2 linked regions of the Alligator mississippiensis genome follow. The protein of the gene in region 1 purifies or fractionates together with the protein of each later gene. This does not show direct contact. Links are inferred from orthologs where the notes say so. Each region holds a gene or a part of one and is shown on either strand. Other genes may lie near its edges.

The links. Proteins that work in one complex are often made in the same cells at the same time.
Region 2: the proteins of ECSIT (region 1) and PPP2R1A purify together in Homo sapiens (affinity purification with mass spectrometry; 3 studies listed by BioGRID and IntAct, with this or other methods). This does not show direct contact. The link is inferred for Alligator mississippiensis from reciprocal best matches to the Homo sapiens genes ECSIT and PPP2R1A.

The regions. Positions count from the first base shown.
Region 1 is NC_081831.1:22,519,574-22,527,126, forward strand, and holds the start of ECSIT (evolutionarily conserved signaling intermediate in Toll pathway, mitochondrial), read right to left. Parts: upstream 3,008-7,553; 5' UTR 2,917-3,007; intron 2,560-2,916; 5' UTR 2,515-2,559; coding exon 2,416-2,514; intron 2,132-2,415; coding exon 1,726-2,131; intron 907-1,725; coding exon 683-906; intron 265-682; coding exon 207-264; intron 1-206. Other genes in the region: TLC domain-containing protein 4, read left to right, coding at 5,236-5,390, 5,528-5,617, 6,094-6,152, 6,302-6,396, 6,586-6,659, 6,890-7,175.
Region 2 is NC_081838.1:29,894,994-29,902,691, forward strand, and holds the start of PPP2R1A (serine/threonine-protein phosphatase 2A 65 kDa regulatory subunit A alpha isoform), read right to left. Parts: upstream 3,016-7,698; 5' UTR 2,980-3,015; coding exon 2,902-2,979; intron 1,308-2,901; coding exon 1,217-1,307; intron 1,035-1,216; coding exon 934-1,034; intron 467-933; coding exon 234-466; intron 1-233. UniProt on the Homo sapiens protein: The PR65 subunit of protein phosphatase 2A serves as a scaffolding molecule to coordinate the assembly of the catalytic subunit and a variable regulatory B subunit.

The DNA.
Region 1 (7,553 bases):
TGTACCGCTGGTGGTACATGTACTACAGATTAGGAACCACTGTGCTACATCATGTGCGGCCGGAGGGGGGGGGGGGGAGGCCATGGTCCATTACAGCCTCTCACCAGCCCATGGCTGTAGGTAGGCCCTCCTGTCAGCACCTATCCCCTGGTCCAACGTAACTGCCCCCCCCACCCAACAATGTGCCCAATTGCGGGAATCCCTACCTACAATGTAGGGCTGTGCATGATCTATCCCTGGATCCTCCTGCTCTGGCAAGGGCATCTGCAGGGACATGAGTGCTATGAGACCCACAAAGCAGTGCCAGGCACTCAGGGGTCACTCCCAGCCTAGCCCCTGCATCCCATCCCAAATAGCCCAGCTCTGGGGCACTTGGAGGTCCCCGCCCAGACCATCCCTGGTGCCTGTCCCAGCACCAAATCTCCCTGCAAAAAGGGAAGGTCTGCCTTGTCTCCAGCCTCAACCTTCCCTGCTATAGTGCAAACCCATTGCTCCTTCTCTCGTCTCCTGTGGGCAGAGTCCATTCCCACCCACCGTAGACCACCCCCCCCCCCCCCCCCCGCCACCCCAGCAGGGCTGAGAAGCCTGGTACCCCCCCTCCTCCCCCACCAGAGACCACAGGGTTCGTGGCCTGGAGTCAGGAGGGCTCTGGGAAAGGCAGGGAAGCCAGGGATGGGCTCACCTGGTAGATGGTGACACGGGCGCTGGCATCAGCAGCGATCCTGGTTAGGCTATGCCGTGCCAGGTCAACAGGGTCACGGGGCAGGGGATCGGGCAGCGGGTAGGGGTTAATGTGCTTGAACTTTGGGAACCAGTACATGATGCGCTGGTACTTGTATGCAGGGTGACTCTGCTCCCCGAAGATCTTCAGCAGCAGGAATCTAGTCTTCTGGTCAGGCATGATGCCTGTGGGCAGGAAAGGGCGGGCACTGAGGCAGGGCTCCCTGGTGCTGGGGTGCTGCTACAGTGGGGGAAGCTGAGGCATGGACTAGCCAAGCGATGCGCCTCACTCACACCCTGAACCAGTGGTGGGATGAAACCCAGGCGTCGAGACTCCCAGTTTCTCTTGCTCTGGCCCACCAAACCCCACTCCACTCCCAGATTGGAGACAGAATCCAGGTGTCTGGGCTGAGCACCCCCTGCTCTAGCTCCTCCTTCTCCAACACTGATGGTCTTGGTCTGCAGGCTGAATCCATGGAGGGTGCGGACAGCCTTGCTGGCACTGTTGGGGAAGAACTCAGGTGTCTGGGCTCCCAGCCAGCCCTTTCCCTAGCTCCCCACCCTCTCCCAAAGGAAGACTAGAACCCAGGCGTCCAGGCTCCCAGCACCCACGTTTTAACCCACCAGATCCCGCTCCCCTCCTATAACTGGGATGGAACCCAAGTGCGCTGCCCCACCCCTTCTGCTCTACCTAACCAGCTCCCTGCTGTCTCCTAGACTGGGCCCAGGTATCTGGACTGCCAGCCCTCACTGCTCTAACCCACTGGGACAGAATCCAGGTATCCTAGCCCTAGCACCTGCCTTCTCTAACCTACCAGACCTTGCTCCCCGCCTACAACTGGGATGGAACCCAGGTGTCTGGGTTCTCAGCCCACCTTGCTTTAACACGCCCAGCCTCCCAGTTCCTTCCTACAACTGGCATATAACCTGTGTCCTGGCCTCAGCCCCACCTCCTCTAAACCACGCATCCCCATGCCCTCCAAGACCCCCAGTAGCTGGCCGTACCATAGGTCTCCATCTGCTCGAGCACCTGGATGCCGCACAGCTGCTGGCGCGGGTAGTGGTGGAACATGCGCTGGATGTAGTTCTGGGGCACAAAGACACCTTGGGGGAAAACATCTAGCAGGCAGTTGTAGGCGTCAAGGTCACGCTCCACACCAAAAATCACCATGTGCCGCAGTGCTGTGTATATGAACTCCACATGCTCGCGGCGTCGCACGTCCCGGTTCTGGAAGGCCTCCACCACCTGGCACCAGGTTGCCTTGCTGCGGCCCTGCTGGGCCGCCTGCCGGAACATGTTCTCAAAGGGCACCAGCTCCCGCGGTATCTGCTCCCCATCTCCATCATCCCCAGGCCTCAGGGTCAGCTTCGAGCCACTGCTACAGCCACGCAGGGGCCCTGTCCAGAAAGCCTGCAGAGCACAGAGACAGCAGGGCACAAGGGCCGCCCGCACGAGCCCCTGCCCTTCACCCTCCGTCCTATCTCAAACCCTTCTACTCCCCACCACCCCTGGTATCTCAACATGCCCTCTCCTTGCCCTGGGGTGGATAACCCAGGACAGGGTAGCTCCCTTATGTCATGAGTCTGCTGAATCTCTATAGCCCCACATGCTACCCCAGCCTCCTCCACTGCCCCCCCTACCAAGCCCCTACCTCACCCCACCTCAAACCCAGCCCCCTGCACTGCCCCCAGTACCTGAACACAGCCAGGGCTCTGCAACCAGGTGTAATCCCGCCCCAGCGCTGCCCTCCACAGTGTGCCCCGGGCTGCGGCGAGCAGCCACATGCTGTTCATGGTGGGGTTTTAGGGACCCGCGACAGGTGCAGGAGCTGGGTCACACTTAGGACAGAGCCAAATAGTGCCTGGTTTAGCCATGGAGGGCCCTGGCTCGGCCATACCCCCCCAGGATACCCTGGCTTGGCACGCACATGTACACACAGTGCAGGCACGTGCATCCTGCGTCCACACTCCAACCCTCCTTCAAACCAACCAACATGCAGCCGAGAGTTCCCTGCTCTCCCAGCGCCCCCGGAGAGGCCCCACTCCCTGCCCCCAACATGCTCGCTGGCCTCAGGACACTCCAGGCAAGACCCATCCCAATAGCCCTCACCTCCGAACAGGACCCCTGCCTCGCTGAATCCCAACTCCGCACCCCAGCCCTGCAATTGCCCCCAAGACAACCAAACCGAACCTCACCCTAAGCCGCCATCTTGACCCCGCTGCCCTCCCCCAACGGCAACCAATTCCGGTGCACAGAGAGGGGGCGGAGCGAGCGCGAGAAGACGGAGCCAATCAGAGCGCACCGCCCCTCAGCGGGCCCCCGCCCCCGCACAGAAGCCCCGCCCCTCTTCGCCAGGGGGCGGGGTACCCGGACGTCTGGGTCCCTCCTCCCGCAAGCCTATCGGCCTAGTGCCTCAGTTTCCCGGTGACCCGGCCCGCTCCCGCCCCCACCCAGCCGGTCGGAGCCTGCCCAGGGCCACCGGGAACAGGCTGCCGCGCCCCGCCCGGCGCGGGGGTGAGCGCCCCCGCCCAGCGCACAACCACCGCCGGAGAGGGCGGGTGGGAAACAGAGGCATCCGTGGGGCTGCGCGTTTGGGCTGCATCTCAGCACCCAGGCGTCCGGGCCGGGCCCCTCGCCCCCCAGATCCAGGCGGGAACTCAGGCGTCTGTGTCCCGGTCCCAAAGGGCCCCCGCCCCGCATCCGGGCAAGGTGCCCTGGGGACAGCCGGCGCCGCCGTGACCACTAGACCCCACTCCCATCCCAGAGCTGCGAAAGAACCCAGGCGTCCGGCCCCTCCCCTCATCCAGGTGGTGCCGCACCCCGGGAACCTGCCTCGGCTCGCGGGGAAGGGGCGGAGCTATCCCAGGAGGTGGGCGTGTCCTGCGTGGGGATTGGGTGCAGCGCCCCCACTCCCCCTCCCAGCTGGGGTGGGGGGGTCTCTATGTGGTAGTGGCGGGGCTGTACGCGTGGCCGGGACTCGTGTGACGCAGGAGCGGGCAGGTGGGTACACCGTGCCGGGGGCGGAGCGGTGGTGGGGTGGGAAGCCTGAGCCCACATGGGAGGAGCCCCGCACTGCCGTTCCCCCACCCCACGCGTGACACCCCCGGCTCTGGGATGTTCCCCGGATTACCCGCTTGGTGCCCGCCCACCCCCCGGAGCCCCTCACCCCGCCCAGTAAGGCCCGCGCGTGACTCGGGTGGGAGCGACGTGGACTGGAACGGGACCTCGGGCCTCATTTGCATAACAATTAATATTAAACAGCCAACCCGCCCACGCCATTGGCCGTCCAGTCCCTCATTAGAATATTCCGCTGTTAAACAAAAAAGCCCCCGCGCACATTTTTCGCCAACCCCTTATTTAAATATGCAAGGAGCTCCCGCAACCGCTGTCTTTCATTTGCATACGATCACTATGCAAATAATGTGCCGGAACAAATCACGGCTCATCGGGATTCTGCGCCTTATTTGAATATCGGCTCGTGTCAATAGCTTTTTGGCTCCTCATTTGCATATGCAATCAGCGCCCCCCCTCATTTTCCCCTGTCACTGCCAAATCCAGGCCGCGGCCAATAAGCAGTTCCGCGGGTGCATATTAATTAGACCAACGAGGCGCTGCTCTCAGCGATTGGTCCGGCACCCGCTCCCAGTTCCCCACGCGGGAATGCAGGGCCGCGCTGTATTTGCCTGTCAGTGAGGTGTCATTTGCATAGATTTGCATACAGCAGCAGTGACAGTGGCCTGTTCCCCCCCCGTGGCCACACATACACGATCCACGCGGGACTGGGGTCATGCGGCGCAGGCGGGCGAGGCGGGACGCGGCGGTCCTGAGCCGGCACCAGCTCGTCCGCCGCCGTGTGTGGCAATAGCCCGCCTGGGGCAAGTCACGTCACCGGGTGGGACCCAGGCGTCCGGGCTCCCAACCCCCCCCCGCCCCGCCCCGCAGCCGTGGCCTTTGCTCCCGGGGGATTATCTCCGCTCAACCCCGCACACGTGGCCGGACAAGGGTCGCCGGGTCTCGGTGACAGCGATGCAGGGCTGGGAGGACCCTGGGTCCTCTGGGCGGCTGGGAGCACGTGGGGGTCTGGGAGCCCGGACTCCTGGGTTCTGCCCCGAGCTGGGAGAAAGGGGTAGAGGGCGGGGTGGGGCTGAGGCCGAGGGCTTCTGGGTCCTTTCCCCAAGCCGAGGAGGGGGCTGAGGTCCGGGGGAGGGAGGGGGCAGCACCGGGCTGGGCGCCAGTTGGGCCCTGGTCCCAGGAGGTCCCCGCCCCCCACCCGGGCAAGGCTGGCATCTCCGCGGCGCTGCCGCTGCCCTGGGGACACCGCGGCTCCGGCTGCCCGGGAGAGCGAGAGCCAGGGACCGTCGGGGGTGGGGGCGGCTACGGGTCCGGAGTGAGGGGCATCAACAGCTCTAAAGAGGGTGCTGCAGGTTGGGAGTGAGGGGTCCCGCGGGGCTGCGAGTCAGGAGTGAGGGGCCCCGCCGGTCGGCGCTGACGCGGGCCCCCACAGGCCCCCCGCCATGGAGGACTCCACTCGTTTCGGCTACTGCGTGGTGGCCGCCAGCTTCGTGGGCTTCCAGTTCTGCTTCTCGGCCGTGAGCCCCCGGCTGTCGCTGGCGCTCTGCCCCCCGTACTGCGCGCTGCCCCCCGCCCGCCGCATCGAGTGGGACTCCAGGTACCGCCCCTCCCCCGGCCAGGATCGGGCCCCCGGAGCCAGTAGAGAACCCAGGTGTCCGGGCTCCCTGGGCCCGAACGTCAAGGGATGTCGCGGGGGTGACCTGTCTGTCCGTGACATCCCCGCGCTGCCCCCAGGTGCGTGTCCACTCTCCACGCGCTGCTGGTCGGGAGCTTCTGCCTCTACATCCTCTGGTACGACGCGGCCGTGAACGCGGATCCTATATGGTGAGACCCCCCCCCCCGCCCCCCAGTGCCCCTCATTCCCGCCTCGCAGACCCCCCCAGCCCTGGTAATGCCCCTCACTCCCGGTCTGCAGCCCCCTGCCCCCCCCCAGCCTTGCCAGTGCCCCTCACTCCCGACCCGCAGCCCCTCGCTCTGTAACCGCAGCCAAGTCCCCGAGCCGGGCAGCTTTCCCAGGCCCTCTCTGCCAGCCGTGGCAAGAAGGTGGGGAGCGTGGGAGGAGGTGCCAGGCCTGGGCGGGGGGCGGGCGTCACATGGCACCGCGGGCATGAAGAGCCGTTTTGTGCTGGGAAAGAAAGAGCTCCTTGTTCCCGCGGCCGGAGTTGACCGGGGGGGAGGACGGAAGGGGGGGGGGGGCAGGGGCCTGGCATTGAGGGGGAAGCTGGGACTCCAGGGGGTGTACTGTCGGTCCCTGCGAGCTGCCGTCCATGAGCTCACCCCCCCCCATCCTGTGCCCGCAGGGGCGACCCCCGCCTAGTGAAGCTGAACGTGGCCATCATCAGCGGCTACTTGCTCTATGGTACGTGCCCCCCCCCCCACCCCTTGGAGCTGAGGGGTCCCCCCCTCTGAAGCAGGTCTGAGCCCCCCCTCCGGACCCCAGAGCAGCCGGGGGTGTTTGCAAGGGCTAGACCCAGGGGGGTGACCCCTCCTTCTCACTCCCGCCCCTAGACCTGCTGCTTCTCGGCCGCTACTGGAAGACGATGGGAGACGCGCTCTTCGTGTGTCACCACGTGGCGGCGCTGTACGCCTACGGCTACGTGCTGGTCAGTGTGGGGGGGAAGGGCTGCGGGTCAGGAGTGAGTGTCACCGGCTGGGGCAGAGGGAAGGGAGCAGCGGGCTGCTGGTCGGGAGTGAGAGGCACGTTTCAGCCCGTGGGGGGCTGTGGGTTGGGAGCGAGAGGTACCGGGTCCTGGAGGGGCTGGGCAGGGGCTGACGGTGTCCTTCACCTCCAGAACCGCGGGGTGTTACCGTATTTCGCCAATTTCCGCCTCCTCTCCGAGCTTTCGACCCCCTTCGTAAACCTGCGGTGAGTTTGGGGGCATCTGGCCTGGCCCGTCCTACAGCCCCCTCCCCAGCTCTGCTGCCCCTGGGCGGACCTCGCTCCAGTCTGGGGGAGTCACTTCTCTCCCCCAGCACCAGGCGCAGGCTCTCAGCAAATTCAGACAGCGAAACCCCGCCCCCTTTCTCCTCAGCCAATCCCCTGGCGCGGAGGAGGGGGCGGGTCTTCTTAAAGTGACAGAGCCCCCGTTGTGGCAGGTGGTTCCTGGAGGCGGCAGGGTGGCCGCGGGGTTCGGGGCCGGTGCGGGCCAACGGGGTGGCCATGGCCGTGGCCTTCTTCTCTGTGCGCATCGCAGTCATCCCCACCTACTACGCCCGCGTGCTGGCCTGGCACGGCACGCCCGAGTACGCCCGCCTGGGCCCGGCCGTGCAGGCCGCCTGGATCGGTCCCAGCCTGGCCCTGGAGGTCCTCAACCTGGTCTGGATGTACCGCATCCTGCGGGGCGTCTACCGCGCCTGCCACGCGCCCCGCAAGCAGCTCTGACCGGGGACCCTCGCGCCACCCTTCCCCCCCCCACCCCCCGCAATGACCCGGACCAGCATCCGCGGAGCCTGGGGGCGTCTAAACTGGAATTGCCCCTGGGAGCACCTGAGTTGAGTTGGAATTACCCCTAGTGGGGGGCATCTGGCTAAAACTGTCCCCCCCCCCGGGAAATCTGGATTGGAATTACCCCCCTGAGGGCATCTGGGCTGGAATTACCCCTCTAGGAGCATGAACTGCTCCCCCCAGGAAACTCTGAATTGGAATTACTCCTCAGGGGTATCGGGGCTGGAAGTGCTCCCCCCCTGGGCCTTCTAGGCTGGATTTACCCTCCCAGGCATCTGGGCTGGGATTACCTCCCCAGGGGGCAACTAAATTGGA
Region 2 (7,698 bases), on another chromosome or scaffold:
GTTTCCCCCCAATGGCCCTAGCCCAACAGCTCTGCCCACTCCCAGCTTGTTTCCCCCAAAATGACCCCTTGTATCTGTTTCCCCCGCCATGGCCCTGCCGCCCCCAAACATCCCCACCCCTCCCAGCCTCTCTTCTGCCCCCAAATCACCCTGCCCCCTGCCTCAGTCCCCCCCACCATGGTTGTACCACCCCCCAGCCTCAGTTTTCCCTCCTCTCCATGACAGGCACTCACTGGCGCAGCTCAGCCTTGACGGCGCTGGACACGCGGGGGTAGCAGACGCTGAAGAGGCCGCAGGCTGAGGTACGGGATGTGAACCAGTCGCCACCCGCTAGGCGCTTCACTAGGGGCACGAAATGAGCCTCCAGGTCAGCCGGCGAGTGCTCATGGGACGTGGCCCGCAGGGACTCCACTGCCTTGTCCCGCACCACGGTCTCCTCCACTGTTGCCAGGCTCTCCAGCGGTGGCTGTGGGACCCAGGCATCCGGGAGCTCAGGGCAGGGTGGGGCAGGCCCGGGGGGAACCCAGGCATCCAGGTCAACTTCCCCCTAAAAGGCCCTGCCCCCCCACCCAACAGTCCTGCCCCCTCTCTGCCTCAGGTCAGGGGAGGACCCAGGCATCTGGGAGGGCAGGCCCTGTAGAATCCTCCCCACCTCCCAGAACCAACACTGAACCCAGGTGTCTGGGAGATCCGGCCCCATCCTGGCCACAGAGACCCAGGTGTCCGGGGGCACCACCACACCCCCGCAAGGGGAGCCCACGGGCCATATAGAGCTGGGAAAGGACCCAGGCATCCAGGACCATGCCCCAAAATCCCAGAGCCAGCCCTGAACCCAGGCATCCGGGCACCCTTGCCCAACTATGCTCCACTGCCCAAGTTCCCAGGACCATCCCCCCCCACCCCCCAAAAAACCCAGGCAACCAGGGCACGTACCAGCAGGCAGTGCACATACTCGGGCCCCCCGACAAGGGCGGTGAAGGTGCCCAGCTGCTCGGCCAGTGCCAGCAGCACTTCATCTTCATCGTAGATAGTGTCTGCGGGGGGAGAAGAGGGACAGAGGCTGCTGACAGCAACCGAAGAATCCAGCTGTCCGAGCCCCCCAACCCTGCTCTGATCCTCTGCCCCCCCGAAGAACCCAGGCATCCAGGCTCCCAGCACCCCGGACTGTCACCCCCCAGCCTCTCCCCCCTCCCAGAGAACCCAGGCCTGTGGGTACCTGTGAGGAAGGGGAGGAGCTCGCTGCGGGTGCGCTCCACGCCCAGCGCCAGCGCGATGGTCGACAGCTTCTTGATGCTGTTCAGCCGGAGCTGTGGGGAGAGTGGGGATCACAGGGGATGGGCAAAGGCTCCTTGAGGTCACGGGGGCACTGAGGCCCGGCTGGCACATCAATGGTTAAACACGGGGGGCACCAGGTCCCTGCTACGGCAGGAGGGGAGGGGAGGCCTGAGGGCACCAGCTAGGTTTGGGGGACAGGGGGCTGCGGGTCAGGAGTGATTGGGGATGGCGGGGGGAGGGGCGCATTGATTCAGGTTTGAGGATGAGCCGGGGGCTCTAATGTGCGTGTCCCCCCGCAGAGCTGGAGAGAAGCCAGGCGTCCGGGCCCCACCCTCAGCTCTGCCCTAGGCCCCGGGCAGAGAACCTGGGTGTCCTGCGACAGACCAGGTCCCTGCCCCTGCATGGCTCCGCCCCTTCCTGTGTCACAGCTGGTCCAACCTGCCCAGCCAGTCCCATATAGCCCCACCCACCCCAGAAGCCCCACCCACTGGGGCAGATCCCCTAACTGCCCCCCCCAGGGGTGGGGGGTATATTTGCCCTCCCCCCACAGACCGTGGGGAGGACTTGCCTCCCCCATAGCAACCTCTGCTCCAGCCAACCAGGTGGGACAGCCTTGCCGGCCACGCCCCCATCCCGGGGAGGGGCGGGCGGCTGAGAAGGCTGCATTTTATGGCTGAAAACTCCGATTGGCTGCTACAAGCCCCGCCCTGCAGGAATATACCATGGGATCCCAGCCAATAGCAGGGAATGCCAGGAGAGCGGGGAAAGGCTGTCATTGGCAGCTGAGGAAGCCTCCTGCAGTCAACCAGACCAGGCGTGACACCGAGAAAGGTTCTGATTGGCTCCTAGGATGGATCTACCACAGGGAACAAGCCAGGATTGGTCCCATAGGCTCTGCCCACCCCACCTAAAAAGAAGGAGCCTTACACCACCCATTCATAGGCAGGAACCCATTATAATCACCCCCCCTCCCCCCGCCTCAAAAGGACCCCTAGTGTGAAACAGCCCCTCCAATTGGCCCCCATAGAGGTACAGGGGTACGGGTACAGGAAGAACCAATCAGTCAACTCCTCTCATCCTGTCCCCCCCCCCCACCACACACACTTTGTTCCCTCAATGCAATAAATCAGGCCCCCCAATAGGTTCTATAATCTCCAGCAAACAACCAATCAGAAACTGCTCTCAGCACCTCCCCCAAAAGGAAATGAGGGGTCTCACGGGAATGAATGGGGGATGCCAGCCAATCAGGGGGCTCGTCCCATCCCACAAAAGACAATGCAGGATTCGACAACAAACAGCGTCCCTCACTGACCCCAGTCCGAAGCTCTGAGCCAATCAGGGGCTTCCTCTCACGCCGAAGAGGATCCAGGGAGTGAGGGGCGCCCCGATAGGCGCTGCTCCGCCCAATCAAGGGGCTCCTCATTCCCCCGAAGGGGTTTCGGGGTTCAGACGAGCCCCCCCACATCGGTCCCCCCGCGTTCATTCCAACGAGGGGCGCCGGCGGCCAATGAGGCACCTCCTCTCATGCCCCGAACCACGCTGCGGCAATGAGACGCGGCGCGTGATTGAGCGCCGGGCTGATGGCGGACGCCGGTGCGGCCTAAGGGGCCCCGACGCCGCCGGTACCTGTACGTCTTCGTTGCGGAGCTCGTCGATCAGCACCGCGATGGGGTAGAGCGAGTCGTCGCCGTCGGCCGCCGCCATCTTTGCTCCCGGCTCCAGCTACTGAAGAGCCGCGGGGACGCCTTAGCCGCCTTGCAGGGGTGGCCCCGCGCTGATTGGCTGGGCCGGGGCCCCTGTCTTGCCCTTCTCTCTTATCACTGGCTGGGCTGGCGGTCACTTAGAGTGTCTCCCCGCTTCCCCTGATGTGATTGGCCGAAGGGGTGTGTCAGCCACATCCAGCCCGCGCTCTAATTGGTTGGATGACACTTGGTCCGTCCCCTCTGCGCTACAAGCGCCATTGGGTTTGGGGCCAGTGCACCCGCCTCTTCCACAACGCCATTGGGCGAGAGCTCAAAGTACCCCACCTTCCTTTAAATCCTATTGGTTGCGTCCCTCTGAATTCCCGCCTCTGCTTTCTCATTGGCTAGATAGTTCCTGTCAATCTCCGTTCACTTACACTCTATTGGGGGAGGAAAACGGCACTCCGTGTCCCAGCGCCCGCCCTCTCTCTCAGATAATTGGCCACTCGATTTGATTGACATGGCACTAGTCCAATCCTAATGTAACCCTCGAGAACGACTGGGGCTTGGGTGGTTCTAAGGCGGGGAATGATACTTGTTGCCCTTAGCAACCGCAAGGTCGGCCATCTTGGCTCTGTCACGGGAGCAGCACTGTGGGTGCCTTCATGATGCCACAGCGCCGTGGGTGACGTCACAAAGCCCTGCGCTGATGAGGTCATACCCAAGATGACATTGCAGCCCAGGGGATGACATAACACTCGCTGTGATGTCAGAGCACCAGCTAGGATCGTTGTGGCCCCCACAGTGGATGTTATGGGGCCCGGGACCTCGCCTGCCGCCCGAGACCCCGATCCGGCTGCCTCCCCCCGCGCCACAGCCCACGGACCCGCTCCCGCCCGGCCTGCCTGCTCCGAGCCCCGCCCCGCTCCCCACCTCTCTCTCCAGCCACCGATACACCGTCTCACCGATCTGCTCCTATACACGTCTATTCACTCGTCCTTCTACCCACCGACACGTCTATCGGTCTATTTATCTACTCATCCACCCACCCATCCATCCCCATGCAGCCCACCTTCTGCGCTACGTCAATCCACCCATCCATCCATCCATCCACCTATGCACATACCTACCTGCCTAGTCCCACACGCTCCTCTCTCGGCCTCTCTCCATTGTTTCATGGTACCCTGCACCAGCCCCCTCTCGGCCAGAGCTGCAAACACGCAACAACTCCCCTCTTCTCTTGACTTCCTAAAAGATGCAGCCGAACGCAAGCATTTAGGAGGTTTTTGATGGTGACCGGGAAAGGAAATCAGCTCCAAAACAGGGGAACCAGCACATTGCTGCCCTCTTACATATACAGGGGCCCTTGCGGCTCCATCTTTCCTGAAGCCTCCTATGTTTTGTCCCCAGAGACCCTGAGCGGCTCCTGAGCATCGCGCCAAGGGGGGACACAGTGGGGAGACCCAGCCCCTGCTCGTGGCCATGGGGCTAATCAAGGCAGAAGAGCGGGAGGAGATACCAGGCTGGGCTGAGATACCAGGCCCCCGATGTAGCAGGGCCGGACGGGGGTCCAGGTCGCATCCGGGCGGCCGTGTGGGGGCTGAGCTCTCACCTCTGGCTGCTTCGTCCCCAGACGTATCCTGCAACAGAGCAGGAAGGGCCGGGGCTGGGGTGAGCCCGTGCCCCCCACGCCCAACCCGCAGCCCCTGCTCCCCCCAGCCCTGCCCCGTCACTCCTGACCCGCATCTGAAGAAGGCATCTGAGCATGCATGGATGGACAGATGAAGAGGGGGGGCCTCTGGGGATGGAGGAGTGAATGAATATAAAGATGGATGATGGATGGAGGGAGGGAGGGAGGCATGGATGGATGGACGCTAGAGGGAGCGATTAAAAGTCTGGCACCATGAGCAGCCTCGGGTCTAACAAGCGGGCCTGGACACATGCACCTTCTATCCCCTGGGAGCCCGGACGCCTGGGATCTCTGGGCAACAGGGGCAGGTGGGTGAGAGCAGGGGGTTGTGCAAGCCCAGACACCTGGGATCTCTCTCCTAACAGCAGGGAGAGGCTGAATCCTGCTTAGGCCCTGGTTTGGGCCACTTCCACATCTGCCCATGACAGCACCTGCCCCAGCCGTGTCTGGCCCGAGGTCCCCACTTCCTGTCCCAGACGGTCACTGACTGTTTCCCGCCAGTTCCACCCCAGAGCTGGGCGCATCTCAGGCCATGGCAAGCCTCCACAGGCACTCCCAGCACCCGAGTCCAACCCAGTAAGTGATTTTGGGCTAAGGTGGCACCATTCGCCTATGTCCCAGCCCTGCTGGTTCCCCTCACTTGACCCCTGATTCCCTGCCTCAGCGCCCCCTACAGGTATGTTTAGGTGGGTGGGGGAGGTAGTGGGAGGTGTTGGGGGAACCAACATAGACAGCTGCAGCATCTAAACCAGGGGCGGGCAATTATTTTCGGGTTCTGGCAAGCTGCTGAGGGCCACATGGGTAGCCCCACCCATTAACAGGTGCCCCGCCCCCTGGTCATCATCTTGGGACTGGAAGTCCTGCCGCCTGCCACCAGAAGTCCAGGGGTGATGCCTAGGGGGTGTACGCAGGTGCACATGCACCCCCTGAGCATGGCAGTGCATCCCCTCCAAAAAGGTGCTTGCAGGTGGTTGCCATTCACCACCTTGCCGCCGGCACTGCCAGTGGCGTCTGTGGGCGGTCAGCGATCCCCATGGGCTGCCGCCAATGCTGCCGGTGGCAGCTGCAGGAGCTCCCCGCTCACCGCCACTGTCCTCCCATTGCTGTCGCCATGCTCCCCCTGCCACTGTGCCCCACCAGCTGCCAGGGGCACGGGTCGTTTATGCACAAGTCCTTCCCCTTGCCTCCAAAAGAACCTTGTCTGTCCTTTCAGTAAGGGGTTTTGCCATCTCAGAACCAGAAAAGTACCAAACTATAGTTTAAAAATCAAACATTGAAAACATGCATTAATTTGGTTTCAAAAATATTTTTGTCCTGATTTACATGTGCTTGCTGAGTCTACACAGAGGTGATTGTATAATAGCTTAAAATGAAGTCTTATGGTTGTCTATTGGGTGGGGCACAGGGGGTGCATATAGATTTGTGGGGGGCTGTGGGTATGCGGGGTGTGGGGGAGGGTGGAGGTGGGAGGATTCTGTGGGGGTGGATAGGCGTGGGGTGAGGGAGCATGTGGGTGTATGTGGATATGTGGGGTGTGGGTGGGTTTGGGGTTTGTGGGAGGTTGTGTGTGGGGAAGAGGGTGGCAGAGATGTGGGAGGGGGAGTGGGTGTGGGGGTCTGTGTGTATGGCAATGCAAGCGAGGGTGGGTGTATGTATATAGTGGGGTGTGTGACTTGCCCTATAAACACGCATACTCTGTCATTGCTTTGTCTCTCTCTCCCCCTCTCTCACTGCATGGATGTGTGCAGGCAAACTGCCCCCTACCCCCAACTCCTGTTCCAGGCCCCGGGGTACTGGTGTGGGCCCTGTGCTCCCGCTATCTAGCAATGCAGCCAGGAACCACGTAATGCCAGAGCGGCCAGTGGGCAGGAAAGCAGGAAAATGGCAGCTACAGACCTGTCTATCAGCCTAAGCCCCATCCCATTTGTAGCCCTGGGTTCAGGCTGTTGCCCAAGCCTGGCATCTGCTTCCCTGGTCCCGCCCACTCTGCCTGTCTGTCATCCTCAAGCCCCACCTCTTCTGATTTAAGGTGCAGGCTCTCACCCACCCCAGGCCCTACCCATCACGCCAAGCCCCACTCCCCCAGCCTGTCCAGCACGCTCAGGCCTCATCCTTGGCACTACCAGGCTCAGGCTTTCACCAAACCCAGGCACCCACAGGCCCTGCCCACCCCTCTAAAACCCTCCCCTTGCCTGCAGACCCGTTGGAGGCTGTGTAGCTGGTGCTGGAGCCCTAGGGGCAGGTGCTGGAGGTCACGGGTGTGCGGCTCAGCTGCACCGGGGAAGGGAAGGCGGGGGCTGCCCTGCACCCGCCTGGGCCTGGTACCACAATGATCACCCCTCTGCCCGGGTTTGTGCTGGAGCTGAGTGCCGGCCCCCAGCACTGCAGTGCCTACGCCTGAGAGGCCTGAAATGAGCTGGGCACCACCCAGTCCCTCCCAGCCACCTTTGATGTGCTTTGTGAGTGCAGGCACTGGGGGGAATGGGGGCACTGGGGTGGGGGACATTGCAATGGGGGCACTGAGATGGGGAGCACTAGGGTGACTGGGGGCATGGGGGTGGGGAAGATTGTGATGGGGCATTGGGAGGACTGGGGGCACTGGGACGGGGGATTGTGATGGGACACTGAGTGCATTGGGATGAGGGCACTGGGGTGGGGAGATTGTGATGGGGCACTGGAAGCACTGGGGTGGGAGGGATTGTGATGAGACACTGGGGGCAGTGAGATGGGGCACTGAGATGGGGGGACTGGGGCACTGGGATGAGGGGCATGGAGGGGACAAGGCACTGTGGTGGGAAGCATTAGGATGGGGGCACTGGGATCAGGTCACTGGGGGGAGACTGGGAGAACTGGGATGGGGAAGGGCGGGGATTTTCCAGACGCCTGGGTTCCATGCTCACGTGTGTGTCTGCATCTGTGCGTGTGTGCATGCACATCTGTGTGTGCGTGTGTGCGCAACCCAGACACCTGGGTTCCCTGCACAGCAGGCTGTCCAGGGGTGGGAGTGGGGCGGGGGGAAAGGCGGGCAGGGTGGAGTCCACAGGCAGCAGA